Linked DNA regions of Arabidopsis thaliana. The protein of the gene in region 1 interacts with the protein of each later gene in a pairwise test. Each region holds a gene or a part of one and is shown in the gene's direction. Other genes may lie near its edges.

The links.
Region 2: the proteins of AT5G49420 (region 1) and AT3G10595 interact in a two-hybrid assay, tested with the Arabidopsis thaliana proteins (one large-scale study listed by BioGRID).
Region 3: the proteins of AT5G49420 (region 1) and AGL54 interact in a two-hybrid assay, tested with the Arabidopsis thaliana proteins (one large-scale study listed by BioGRID).
Region 4: the proteins of AT5G49420 (region 1) and AGL75 interact in a two-hybrid assay, tested with the Arabidopsis thaliana proteins (one large-scale study listed by BioGRID).

The regions. Positions count from the first base shown.
Region 1 is NC_003076.8:20,034,110-20,038,172, reverse strand, and holds AT5G49420 (MADS-box transcription factor family protein), read left to right. Parts: upstream 1-1,967; 5' UTR 1,968-2,002; coding exon 2,003-3,007; 3' UTR 3,008-3,060; intron 3,061-3,257; 3' UTR 3,258-3,501; downstream 3,502-4,063. Other genes in the region: AT5G49430 (WD40/YVTN repeat and Bromo-WDR9-I-like domain-containing protein), read left to right, coding at 1-295, 503-561, 640-835.
Region 2 is NC_003074.8:3,311,214-3,314,780, reverse strand, and holds AT3G10595 (Duplicated homeodomain-like superfamily protein), read left to right. Parts: upstream 1-1,949; 5' UTR 1,950-1,965; coding exon 1,966-2,234; intron 2,235-2,593; coding exon 2,594-2,876; 3' UTR 2,877-2,996; downstream 2,997-3,567. Other genes in the region: CAT7 (cationic amino acid transporter 7), read right to left, coding at 1-314, 413-812; AT3G10590 (Duplicated homeodomain-like superfamily protein), read left to right, coding at 3,470-3,567.
Region 3 is NC_003076.8:9,530,119-9,533,270, forward strand, and holds AGL54 (AGAMOUS-like 54), read left to right. Parts: upstream 1-1,621; 5' UTR 1,622-1,726; coding exon 1,727-2,290; 3' UTR 2,291-2,579; downstream 2,580-3,152. Other genes in the region: CDC20.3 (cell division cycle 20.2, cofactor of APC complex-like protein), read right to left, coding at 1-963.
Region 4 is NC_003076.8:16,488,926-16,492,041, forward strand, and holds AGL75 (AGAMOUS-like 75), read left to right. Parts: upstream 1-1,618; coding exon 1,619-2,611; downstream 2,612-3,116. Other genes in the region: AT5G41190 (RNA-binding NOB1-like protein), read right to left, coding at 1-637, 769-1,087. UniProt on the Arabidopsis thaliana protein: Probable transcription factor that may function in the maintenance of the proper function of the central cell in pollen tube attraction.

The DNA.
Region 1 (4,063 bases):
CTGGACTTGCAGGGACAAGTGTAAAGTTTGGTGGAGAGACGAAGGCGAAGAAGATGGTAGTTGGTGGGAAGGACGGATTCTAGCTGTGAAACCCAAATCACCTGATTTTCCTGATAGTCCGTGGGAGAGGTACACAGTTAAGTACAAGAGTGACCCTGCCGAGACACATCTTCACAGTCCCTGGGAGCTTTTTGATGCAGATACCAAGTGGGAGCAGCCTCACATTGATGATGAGCAACGAAACCGTTTGCTCTCGGCCTTAACAAAGTTAGAGACTTCAGACAAGAGAACCCAGGTATGTGATCCTAATGAATATAATATCTCATGGTGTTAAATCTAGCCTATCCTCCCCACCAAATTCAGACTTCACCCAAAGAGCTTAGGCCCATGTTTACATTAGCTTAGTTGGTTTATAGATCACATTCTAAAGCTTAGTGGATTAAGACACAACATTATCCCAAGAACTAACAATATTGATATAATGTGGGCTAATTTGTTTCAGGATTCTTTTGGCCTCCGAAAACTGAACCAGACCGTGGGAAATTCCAGCTACTCCAACAGGTAAATTTCTACAACCCTGGAAGAGTCTTTGGTGGAGCCAAAGCTGACATGGTTTTGTTCTATGGATTCATTCTGCAGGTTCCCAGTTCCTTTGTCTCTTGAAGTAATCAGATCAAGGCTTGAGAACAACTATTACCGAAGTGTGGAAGCATTACGACACGACGTATCAGTTATGTTGTCCAATGCAGAGACTTTCTTTGGTCGAAATAAAAGTGTAGCAGCCAAAATCTCAAATCTCTCTAACTGGTTCGACCGGACGCTACCTTCTTCGTAGCTTATCATCGCGCCTATGTAGATAAACTGATGTTTTTTTTTCTCATGTTTCCAAATTATTTAGTTAGGTTTCCTGCAATTCTTTAAAAACTCTGGTTCTAATGGCAGAAGAGAATTTTAGGGGATTTTTTTTCCTTCAGTTAGAAAATTTTAGGTTTAGGGTTTAGTTGGAGATAATCTTTTTCTTTTTGAAATTGTATGTAAAGAGAAATTGGAGGAGAGGTCAAAAACGTTTGATGCTTTGGAATCATCTTCTGTTGACTGACCAACCCCAAATTTGAGAATCATTTCTTTTTCTGCTAATGGTACAACAACAGATGAAATTGTTGACATTACATGTGCAAATATCCAGTCTACAATAGATGATCAAGACAAAAACAGTATAATTGCAAATATTTTTGACAAAAAATTGATGAATACTAAGAAACAACGTTTTTATAGAAAGTCTGGACGATTTGGTTGCTCTAGACAGTGGTAGTAAACTGAGTGATAGATATTGCTAGGTGTTTTTGAAACACTGTCAAGGTTAAGCTCCAATGAAATCAGTCAGTGATTATATGTTGATGACCCTCTCTCAAGGTTTGTTCTATAGTCACCAATTACAATTGTTTCTTCTTGGTATTGATATTTTGAGTTTTGTGTGTTTAGGATAGCTGATAGGCTTTTTTGTTAGTTTTATTTGATGGACTATTGTTTTTCAGTAGGTCTTTAACAAAGTTTTCTTCTGCTACCAGGTCACCTTTGTCAACTCCATAGCCACATTTTAAGGAGTGAAGAACCAGAAAGAATGAACACGATAATGTGAAGAACCAGCTATATATTTGTTTGTCTCTCTCATAATAATCTGACAAAATTTTTTTTGTAGAATCTAGCAAAATAATATTTTTTGAAAAATAAAAATATCTCCAAATAAATCTGAATCATAATACAATAACTAAAAATTATCAAAATAAAAATAAATAAGACTGCACTAAAAAAGGATTCTGGTGGATAGTTGGGCTTAGCCCATACAAGATTACGGTCCATGTGGTTTAATCGGTTTAGGTGGATGATATTGATATGGGGTTTCGATATTTCCCTTATATATATGAGACTGAGAGATAGAAGAAGCCTTCACTTTTCAATTATCTTTCTCCACACTCAACAAAATTGAGAAAAATCAATCAGAATGGTGAAAAAAGGTGGCACGAAGAGGAAGATTGCGATTGAGACGATACAGAAGAGAGATTCCCTTAGGGTTACCTGCACCAAACGCCGTGAAGGTCTCTATAGCAAAGCCTCTCAGCTTTGTCTTCTCTCAGACGCACAGATCGCTATCTTAGCGACTCCTCCTTCTTCTGAATCCAACGTATCCTTCTACTCTTTCGGTCACTCCTCTGTTGATGCCGTTGTCTCTGCTTTTCTCTCCGGACAACGTCCTGTTCCGAAGGATAACAAAGAGACGAGGGAGGACGTTGGTATCTGTTTGACTCGCAATAATCTAGGGTTAGGTTTTTGGTGGAACGACGAGAGCCTTGCCAGATCGGAGAATCCTCAAGAGATTAGTGAAGCGATCGACTCTATGCGGACGCTGTTGAGGAATCTCAAGGAATTGCGTGCGGATGAAGCTTTAGCCTGTAATCAAGCTTTCGTTAATGATCGCGAGGACCTGAAGAACAACGACAAGTGCGATTTTGTTTCAGACCACGAAACTCATGATCAAACCCTAATTCTTCAGTCCGCTTCTCCAATTTGTTGCATCCCAGAAAATCTCAACGAGATTACTCAAGAGCCAAATCAAACCCTAAATATTCAGTCGAGTACTTCTGCAATTTGTTGCGTCCCTGATAATTCACCTGAAAATTTCAATGAGATCACTGAAGAACAAGATCAGATTCGCTCGATTTGTGAAACTTTTTGTGTTATGGATAACAACGCTGCTTTACCTGAAATGAACCTGGATTACGATCAAGACATTGGCTTCGACACGCCTTTTGAGAGCGCGCTAAATGATTGGTTTTCGGACAACACTACTCATCAGGAGATTAGTGCAAGTATTTTGAACGCTGTTGTTGATGATCAAGTCTCGGTGGATCTAACTCCGTTTTCTTATTTTCAGAGATGTTTGGATGGAGATAATCTACGATTCTCTGATTGTTTCAAAGACTTTGCAAACACTATTTCAGCACTTTGAAGATAATTTCTCTGCAGTTTTCAAACTAACTTCTAGTTACTTCTTTATTATATGTATGTATTGATTCTGCTAATTTTGGTTACAGATATGTTTTAGCAATGTAATGAATGAAAGGGTCTGGTTTGACCTCGATCAGTTTTCCATACATATATGTATGAGGGAAATTGATCGAAATCAAACTGGTTCTCTGCTTCATCAGTTTGGTTTAATGATAATATTTGTCTTCTGTTTCTATGTTTTGTATTTGTAGTTTCAAGTCCAAACTCATGCGATGAGAACATGACCAAGGCAACCAAACCACTTGAACCACAAAAAGACGAGAAGCAGCTTGTACCGGAGGAAGCATTAATCGTTCTGGCGGGTCCTCTAACAAGATCAAAATCTAAGAAGTTCAACCAAGCTATCAATGGACTACTCAAGGAGCTAAAGAAGAATCAAGAAGACGTGACTCAATCCTCCTTCATAGTGATCACGGCTCAAGAGGCTCGGTAAAGGGTTAAGTGTTGCTTATGCATTCTTTTTCCCTTATCAAGTTTTGTCCCAATGGGTTTTCTTGACAAGGTTTTTAATGAGGCCTAAGGAACACTTTCAAGCCTCCCTTTATCAGCTCAATTCGTGGTCCAAGGCCCACTCACAATGCCGTGGCCCATTTTCTATTTTCTCTTCAAACTTTGCATTTATTGTTTTTGTTATTTCCAAAACTCTTTGCATGAGTGTGTACTTGTGCATGCTCTTGCATGTCTTTCTTCTCTCACCTCTTCCCCTTCTTCCTCCTCTCCTATATAAACTCATTGTAGTTCTCATTTGTAATCATCAAACATTTTAATCAAAAACTTTCTCTTTCACTTGTTTGATCTGAAAAGTGTGTAGTATCTTTTCAACTTGTTTTCTTCTTAGTGTGTAATATCTAAGTTGGATCCAAGCTCGTAGTCTAAGAGTCTTTCATCACTCTTGGAAGTACAATTCGTTCCCCTTTCATTCCGCTGCATCCACTCGATCTCGTCGCCATCCCCATTCATCGTCTTTCCACCGCTTTGATTAAGATCAATCCATTAT
Region 2 (3,567 bases), on another chromosome or scaffold:
GTCTCCTTTCGAGAAACCCATGACGATCACGAATACTATAAATGCAATGTGTAACGCCGTTAATACCATATTCACCTTCGAACTCTCTCTCGTACTGTAACAGATGACGAACGTGACGGCGAGGACGACGATAACGGCGATGGGATCGATTTCGTTGAATCCGTTTGGGAGACCGGAGACGATGAATCTCCACTCCGATGTTGAGATTCCGAATGCAGATCCGAGATAAGCGGTGAATCCTCTTGAAACGGCGGCGTTTGACAGTACGTAGTCCATTATCAGATTTGCTCCGGTTATAAACGCCGGAAACTCGCCTGTAACGGAAAAAAATGAATGATCGGAGAGGAAAAAATGAAATTTGAATTTCTCTGCGATTTGGGAGTTTTGATTTTGGCGGGAGAATGTTACTGACCGAATGTGATACGGATGTAGCTGAAAGCACCGCCGGCGACGGGGAGGTGAACGGCGAACTCGGTGTAACAGAAGGCGGAGAGTAGAGCACAGAGTCCGGCGATTGCGTAAGAGACGACGATTGATGGACCAGCGTAGAGACGACTAGCACGGCCGGTGGTGACGAAGACTCCGGCTCCGATCATTCCACCGATTCCGAGTCCGATGAGATCGTACCAACGGAGAGTACGACGCATCTGCTCGCCGGAGACGGCGCGGACGCGGCTCATCTCGTCGTAAGAGGTGGAAACGGAAACGGCTCGGCGGGAAAAACGGGAGGGAGTGTCGGAGAGAGAGTTGAGGTAGACACGGAGGCTAGAGAAAGAGGTGTCTCCGTCGTGGTTCCGGTATTGGGCCTCCATTTCGGGTCGGGTCAATATGTAACGGATTATAATGTTTTTGAGAGTAATTTGAAACAAGTGGTTTTATAATGTGAGATTGCAAAAGACTGAGAGACGAAAAAAAGAATTAGACGCTTTTTGGTGTAATTTATTACAAGCTTTGGAAACGCTAATTATTATTATTATTTTGGTCAACTTAGTTTTATTATATTAAAGTAGCTTCTATTTTTTTGTATTCATAATGATCAGTGATCACATAAGCATCGACTAAAATAAATAAATCACGTAAGCATTAACACAAATATTCTATAATCTGTTCGGTCTCCCAATTTTTATTATTTGAGTTTAGACGGCAAATATTTAATTCCTAGTATAAATAATGAATGCTTATTTTTCCTTGGACAATGGTCGATAATAATCACAACTTGTTTGTTTAACGAATGCAACCAACGAACATGGATAAAAATGTTACTCTTTTAAGTATCAGAGTGACCAACCAGTAACCGGGATCGTTGCAATCCGTCGCAATATTCACAACTTGGTGAATAATTATGATTGATTATTTTCCTTTTCGTGTGAAGAGAGTTTGAAAAAATAAACAATTTTTTGTTTCTTTCATGTTAATGAAAGTTCTTAATTTCTAAAGTTTTGACTATTTATTTTATTTGTGTGGTATTAGGTCTATAATCTTTTGTATGTTAAATTTTTAATTTTTAACACGTGTGAAAACATAAATTTGTTTATACACGTGTTATAATCTAATTGGCTGTAACACGTATCATAATTCTGATTGCTAACACGTGTGAAAATAAAAATTTATTTGTACACGTATCATAATCTAATTGGCTAAAATCGTCAATATTATAAAACAAATTTAATAAAAAGGATATAGGAAACTAAATGAATGACAATAAATCAGTAGAAAGAAATAAAATAAAGACTTTGTATGCAATATAGCAAAATCTGAAATAAAATTTACCCTTTGAATATAAGAAAAAGGAAGGAAACTTAATACACCCCAATTTGAGAGAAGAGAAGCCATATATTTTTTGTTACTTGAGTTGATTTATAAGCTGCCATATCCCTTACATGAGTTATTATATATACTGTAGTTCTCCAGATTCACACCATTCTGTTTTGTAGACTTCATTTTCCTTAATTTGTTTTGGGAATCATGGCTGAAAATTCATGGACGACAGAGGAGAACGAGATGTTCAAGGATGCACTGGTGATGTTCACTGCCTTTTTGCTTACTCGGTTTGAGAGTGTCGCCGAGTATGTGGATAGATCGGTGGATGATGTTAAGGAGCATTACAAGGAATTGGTCAATGATCTTTTAGAGATGGGATCCAGTCGAGTAGCTTTTCCTAATGAATTGACTAAGGATATGGCTCAAAGTTCGTACCAGGCCGAGAGAACTATATGGACCAAAGAAACACATGAGTAAGTATATAAGATTAATGAGTGATGAGTTATGATTTTTGTTAGTTAGTGGAATTTACATACACGTATAAGTTTCAATTATAAACATAATGATTGATTAGTACTGGTATTGGTTTGTGGATCTAGCTAGACGCATTCTCCTCTTAGACTCCATAATTCACATAGTTCATTTCTGAGATTAAAATGTATTTAGTCCTATGATCTTACGATTTACACATTCTAGCATTATTTTTTTAATGTGGACAATATAGTTTTTTTTTTTTTTTCATTTGACTCAATTTATATCGTTAACTAATAATGCCATGGTGAAACTTGATTAAAATGGGCTGATCTATGAACTGGTGGAAATTGTAATGCAGATGGTTTCTGATTGGGTTAGACCGATTTGGGAAAGATTGGCGTAAAATAGCCGTCTTATTGGATTGCAAGAGCCCGATCCAAGTCGAGATATATGCAGAAAACTTTTACCAGTGGCAAAGCTCAAAGAAAAATGTGATTAACGACTTAAATGTGGCAAGCACCGATGTGAATGTGATGAAACGGCAGGGAGCAAATAACACCAATGTGGACTCAACAGGCCAACAAGAGAGTCTCGTCGCTCTGGAAATCGGTCACCATGCTAAGGCCCCCAACTCAAAGTGATATAAATCTCTATGACTGTATTAACAACCAAAAAATAAAAAGCCTAAAGATATTGAAGGCCCTTGATTATTTTTTTTGTGTGGTATGTTAAAGATTTGGGATTTCCATTTTTTTGGCAAACCATATTTTATTTAATTTTGTGGTCATCTATATTATTTTCTTTAACCATTAAAATAATATATATTTCAATGTTTTTATTTTTTGCTTTATTTCATCTAGGCTAAACAGAAGATACACGTAAGATGGAGCTTTCAAGTTAAGTACGTAGTATATATAAAGTTGGGGTTAAATAGGAAACTAAAATAACTTGAAATTACACTCCAAGTTTTACCCACTGCGTACGTCTAAACGTAAACGAGAAGAAAACTTCTGAGTCAAGTTGTGCGTGTTTAAATACGAAATCGTGTTTCTTTTTGTAAAGTGAGGGCTAATTTTGTAATTTTCACCCATTACTTGATCCTCTATAAATTGTCAGGTTGCCAAAATTAAAACGAACAAACAATCGCTCTTCCGTAACATATTCCACAAAACGATCTTCTTGTTTCTTGAATTTTTAGCCATCTCTTTTTTTTTTTCTCATTTTCTCGGATACTATGGCTTCGAGTCCACGCTGGACGGAGGACGACAACAGGCGTTTTAAGTCAGCTCTGTCGCAATTCCCTCCGGATAACAAGCGTTTGGTGAATGTCGC
Region 3 (3,152 bases), about 11 Mb from region 1:
TCCTACACCACCACCAGTTGCAAGCAAAGTTGCTTGGAAAGGGCACCACGCAAGAGCTCTCACTGCAGCTGTATGTTCCTCAAACCTATGCAGCCATTGCCTAGTTGGTTTTGAGGAAGCGACAGAACGATGATCCCATATGTGTACTACATTGTAGTTACCACCACTTGCTAGTTTTTTTCCAGATTCTGACCACTTAAGACCACAAACCTCTTCAGTGTGACCCAAGTAAGTTCCAACAATGGAAGATCTGATCCTCACATCATTGTTGACGATCTTTCCATCCATTCCTCCAGTTGTTAGAATGTGATTGTTCCATGCCAATGATCCTACTCTTGACTCGTGACCACCTATCAATGTTCTCACTTGACGATTGGAAACAAAATCCCAAAGCTGGACTTCACTGTTGTCAAGACCAACTGCCAGATCAAGACCATCTTGCGTCCAGTTAATACTTGTGACAGGTCCCTTGTCTTCATCAATAGTCACAAGCTCAGACGTAGAGCCACTGGAAGCATCCCACAAGTAAACGGTGTCTCCCAAAGCAATGGCTAAGACGTTAGCACTGCCCCAGTCCAACAAGTTAAGGTAGAAGTCATCCATAAGACCAGGTGCATCCAAGACTCTCTCACTATTCTGAGGAATGTATCTACGAGGCTTTACGGATTTAGGGTTTTGGTGAGGAGAATCAGAGTGATTGCTAGAAAGCAGAGCTTTAGGTTTGTTTCTGAAAGCAAGAATACGGGTGCGATTCTGATTCATAACCACAGCCAATTGCGTCATGTAGGCTTTTCTTGATGCTGAAGTTATCTCATCGACATTACGTTTTCTTCCTTGGGTAAGAGCGTAGTTAGCAAAATCGAAATCCATGGCGGATCTGTTTGGGATGAATCTGTCCAAGTTTTGCTTGGAAAGTTTCCTCGGAAGAAAGTGGTCTGGAACTGTACACGTATCCGAATCCATTACAACGAAACAGAAGGAATTAAACGAAATTAGAGAAAGGGGACTAATCAAATAAAAGCTTGCAGAGAAGAGAAGTAAGCGTTAGTAAACAAGTTAGAGAAAGAGACAACGACTAATCAAATATATTCGAGCAGAGAGAGCGAAGAGAGCGAAGAGTTTTGTTTAGCCGCTGAGAGGGAAGCGAATGATGAAGAACATATATTGAAAATAGTGGAATCAATTTAGTTTTTTTTTTGTTGCTGTCCTTAAATTATATAGAAAATGTTTACTACAACGGTTAGATTGATATTTGTAAAATCGGATCTAATTTATATTTCCTCTATGATATCAAACATACAAAGGATTTTTATTAGACGTGATCAAAATAAAAAAAAGAAGAAGAAGGATTTTTACTACAATTATTGAAAAACCCCAACGGTTAGATTAATATCAGAACCGTGTTACACAATTATCAGATTTTATTTTCTCTCTGATAAGCTACTTCTTTCTTTTTTTTTTTTCTTTTTTTTTGTGTAAACAACAATTAAGGGTTTTTGCTTACCTTAATTAATTATTTAATTATTACCTTACAACGGTTAGAAATCGGATCTGATTTTAGATTACATCATTAAATGAAGAAACGATATGGAAATCGATCGAATTTAACAAATTCTATATAACCCTCTCAACTTTCACTGAATTATATCGTTCAGAGTTTATTTTCTCTTTGAGAAATAACTGAAAGCTTCTTTTTCTTTCTTTCTCTGTGTAAACAAACATCACAATGGATTCTTCAACGTCTACGAAGAAGAATACCAAATTGTTTGTAAGAAACCAAACTTGTTTCAAGAAATCGTCTCTGTCTTCTTCCAATGCAAAAAAGACCACGAATTTGTCGATGAGAGAACAGACCATGTTTAAGAAAGCCTTGGAGCTTTCGACTCTGTGCGACATCGAAGTCTGTGTCATATACTATGGTCGTGACGGAAAACTCATCAAGACATGGCCGGAAGATCAATCTAAGGTTCGAGACATGGCAGAGAGGTTTAGCAGATTACACGAGAGAGAACGATGCAAAAAAAGAACCAACCTTTCTCTGTTTCTACGTAAGCAGATCCTCCACGACAAGAAATTGTCGGAGAAAGTCTTAGAGATGGAGGATTCGTTAGAAAGTGGTCTACGGGTACTACAAGATAAGCTTCTGTTACTCCAACCCGAGAAAAACCAGACCGAGTTAGGTCAGAGCTGTGCGGTTTATTCCACAACGTATCCATTGTCTTCTCCTTCGCTGATTGAGGATCATCAACATCAACAACAATGGACAGAACCATTGTCAAACACAGAGTAAGACCTATCAACGTCATCATTGAGTCAACATGAGAGCAAATTTTCAGTCTTTCCCTATAACCATGATGATTGTAGCTTCTGTCAAATCCCTAACTCTGTTTCTAGCTTTGAGCAATCGACTTTACTTGGGGAACAAGGATCTGGTCTAGGAAGTAACTCTGATCTTCCTCCCATGGTGTTTACTCCTCAGATGCAGACACAAACCCCACTTGTCCCCTTTGATCAGTTTGCGCCATGGAATCAAGCACCATCGTTTGCAGATCCAATGATGTTCTCTTATAATTAGGTCTTGTTGTTCCAAGATCTGTTCTTTGACTTGGTCAACGTTCTGTTATTTTCTATTATATATTCTCAGTTTAGGTTATGAGTTTAATTTGTATGTTTTCTAAGTATGTATGAATGCTATTTTTTCAAGTTTTAAAAAAAGTCTTGGCTTCTTCTATATTTGTATGAGTCTACAATTTGAGTTTGAAAACCTGCTTTATTAAGATCTTTAATATACAATAGACATTGAAATGAATGCTAGATGTACATAATTTATGCAGATAAGCCAACTAATTGAGTAATTGAGCTTGTCTCGGTGTGATCTTCAGTTTAATTTTACGAATCGATTTAATGGAAGAGAAGATAATAGGATAAGCAAATTACTGCAGCTTCCGACAAAAGATGATGTCAAAAGTAGTGTTTTGTCCAAGAGGTGGAGAAACTCTGGCTTCGTTGAATTTAGATTCCAATGAATTTCCAGATTACAATGCCTTAGTGAGTTTTGCTGATAGGTCTTTAGATTCCTCTAAGGATTCATGCTTGTACAAGCTCAGGTAAAGTGTGTCCGGAGGATTGAGAATGAACAGTTTTGTGTCAGT
Region 4 (3,116 bases), 3.5 Mb from region 1:
GTTTCATTGGCCTCTTTAGTGTGTCGAGCTTTGTCAGCTTCTTGATCTTTCTGAATTTCTTGTTCAGCCAAAGCATTGTAATGTTCCCACCTTGCCTTTCTTCTAAGATACTTTGAGTGAGTACTTCTACTGACTGCGGGTCTCCAATCACTAGCATCATCATCATCATCATATTGCCCCTGGGATGCATCAACTCCCTCCACTACCATCTTACCCTCAAGCTTAATCTCTGTTTTCTTGGGCGGGTATCGCCTATGCTTCTTCCCACCTTCCTGCACATCCTCTTCATGATTCTCAGTATGAGAGACAACAGAACCAACCTCAGAAACATTGTCTGAAGCAATAATATTCATGTTAAGGTCTTTCAATGGAAGGATTTTGGAGTTAGCGTTGGATTTTTCCTCAGTCTCGTTTTCAAGTGCCTCCCACTCCTCCAAGTTAGCCACATTGGAGCCCCAACCAGGTAAATCCTTCTCAGGTAATCTCTTAACTCTAACAGTTTGAATCGGTGGAGGAACATCTCTAAGATTTTTGGTGCCATAAACCTGAGCCTCAAGCGTGTATGACAAAGCAATCAACTTCAGATCAACATCAGACAGAGATTGCAAATCACCAGTAGCTCTTGCAAATTTGATAACTGCAGAACCAAAAACAATCAATCTCAGAGATACAATACAATCTTTTCTCCAACACAAGAATATACAAATACCTACTTAGGTACAAATTTCACAATCACAAGAATAAGAATCACAAAACTAATAAGTGTACCTTTACTTAGAGATTCAGGAGAAGGTTCCATGGTATCAATAGTGAAAGGGATGAAAGCGAGACGACGGCGAGAAGCAGGGTCACGAATCTCAGAGAGAACCTCAGGGACAGTTACGAATTTGTCGGCGAAGTTTGTTAAGCTCTGACGTCCTTCAATGATGGCGTTGGCGTCAACAACCGCAATAGATATTCCTTTTGTGGATTTGCAGTTTCCGACCATCCCGAGAATCGCTGCCGGAGCTCCGTCGTTAACCGGAGGCTTTGAAGGTGGATCTTTCTTCACAATTGAGCTCCACATCGAGGTTGGTTTCGGATCCATGGTTTTCGTTATTTGCCGCTTCAAATGTGGGTGGGTTTAACGAAGAGACTGAGAGATGGAGAGAAGAAGAAGAGTGTAAACAAAAACCTAGGTCAGATCCGAGACGACGTCGCTTTTTGTCCATAATTTTAAATGGGCCTCACAAGGCCCAAATAATTGCGTAGATGTATAAAATACTATCTGATTAGAGCTAGAATTTGAAGACTAGTATTAACCAAACCAAACTAGATCATATCAAGGGTTAATGATATCAAATTATAGTTGTGTTTCCTTTTTATCAACCCTTAACGGCTCTAGAACGTAAAATCTATGGAAATCGAATCTATGCAAATATATGGAAATCGAAACGAATCTATCTATGCACACATCTTTACGCGTTTTTTTATCACCGATCATCTATAAATATATCTAATTCTTTCTAACTATTTCATAGTTCATCATCTTTTTCACAAAGCCAAAGTTTGTCTTCGTGCTTTCTCTTAACTTTGAGCGTGAAAAAACACAGAGTTTGTCTTTGCAATCAACAAGAAGATGACTATGCGATCATCTTCACCTTCGTCCTCTTCTTCTTATTCACTCGCTTTCACAAGTTTGAGCAATAGGCTTGAGACCATCTTCAAGAAAGCTTCAGAGCTTTGCACTCTTTGTGATATCGAAGCCTGCGTTATCTATTACGGACCAGACGGAGAACTTAAGACATGGCCTAAGGAGAAAGAGAAAGTGAGAGACATTGCTCTTAGGTATAGTCTATTGAACGAAGCATTGAGACGCAAGAAAAGCGTTAATCTTCATGGGTTCCTGAACAAGAAGAAGAACAAGGGTTTGAAGAATCCGAACAAGAAGATGAAGACGAGTCTTAAGAACGTGAATATTTTAAAGTATCCACTCGCTGATCATTACCCTCCCGACCAAGTTTCTCCACTGATTCAGTCCTTGGAACTCCATGTCTCTAAATTCCAAGAAAGGCTTCGATTTCTTGAGTCGCAGAAACAGAATCAGACAAAACCGGATCATCAGAGTTTAACACCATCCTCTCTGAATCATTACACCCAATCTTTGAACCCTAGCCAGTTCTCGCTGTTTATGTATAACCATGGAGACAATACTCTGTCTCAGATCCCAGTCTCTGCATCAAATTTCAATCAGGATTATTTCTCAGCGTTACTTGAAGAATCTGAGTTGAAGAATCAGTTAATGAAGCCGGAGATTTGTGGTTATGATCAGAATCAGAACATGAGCATGGGTGACATCACAAACAACAAATTTCAAGATCCTTGCGTCTCAAACAAAGAAGCGGTACAAGAATCTGTCAACAACTTTGGGTTGAATCAATTGATGTACAAGGAGTTTTATGGTTGTGATCAAAACATGTCTATGGGTAACATCAATAGCAACAGCTTTCAAAATCCTTGCGTCTCAAACACACAACATTACTCGGCGGTAGAAGAATCTGTGAAGAACCCCTGGTTGAATCAGTTAATGCAGAATGAACTTTACGGTTACGGTTATGCAGGCTTTTGTTAAATTCTTATGATTTATTAAGAACATCTTGAATCAATTTGATGTGTTGTTGTTGATCTGTATTCAGCTATTGTAATAAATTTGAATCATCATCCCTAGAAACATTAATTACTAAAAGCCAATTTTATCTATTTCTGATTGCTCTCTATCATAATAAAGCCAAATTTCCAATAGACTCTCAACAGAGCAATAACCGTGGCTGAGTTCTGATTCCTCCACTTTGTCTTTGTCTTTTCTATTCACAGATATAACATCCTCTCTTTTCAAACCTGTTTCAGTGATTCTCTGTTCTAAGAAATAATAATCATCGCATGTTTATTAAACGGAACAACATAAGCATTACAGTTTCAGTAAACATGAGAACAGTGTGTGGGGGTGGGGTGGGGGGGGGGGTGGGGGTGGTGTTTGGACACTAATGTTTGCAAGCTTAAAGATAAATTGTGCAGGTGACTCTTCACACTACTGTTATTTTTTGTCTTGTGATGATGATTCCTTCCCTACCATAATG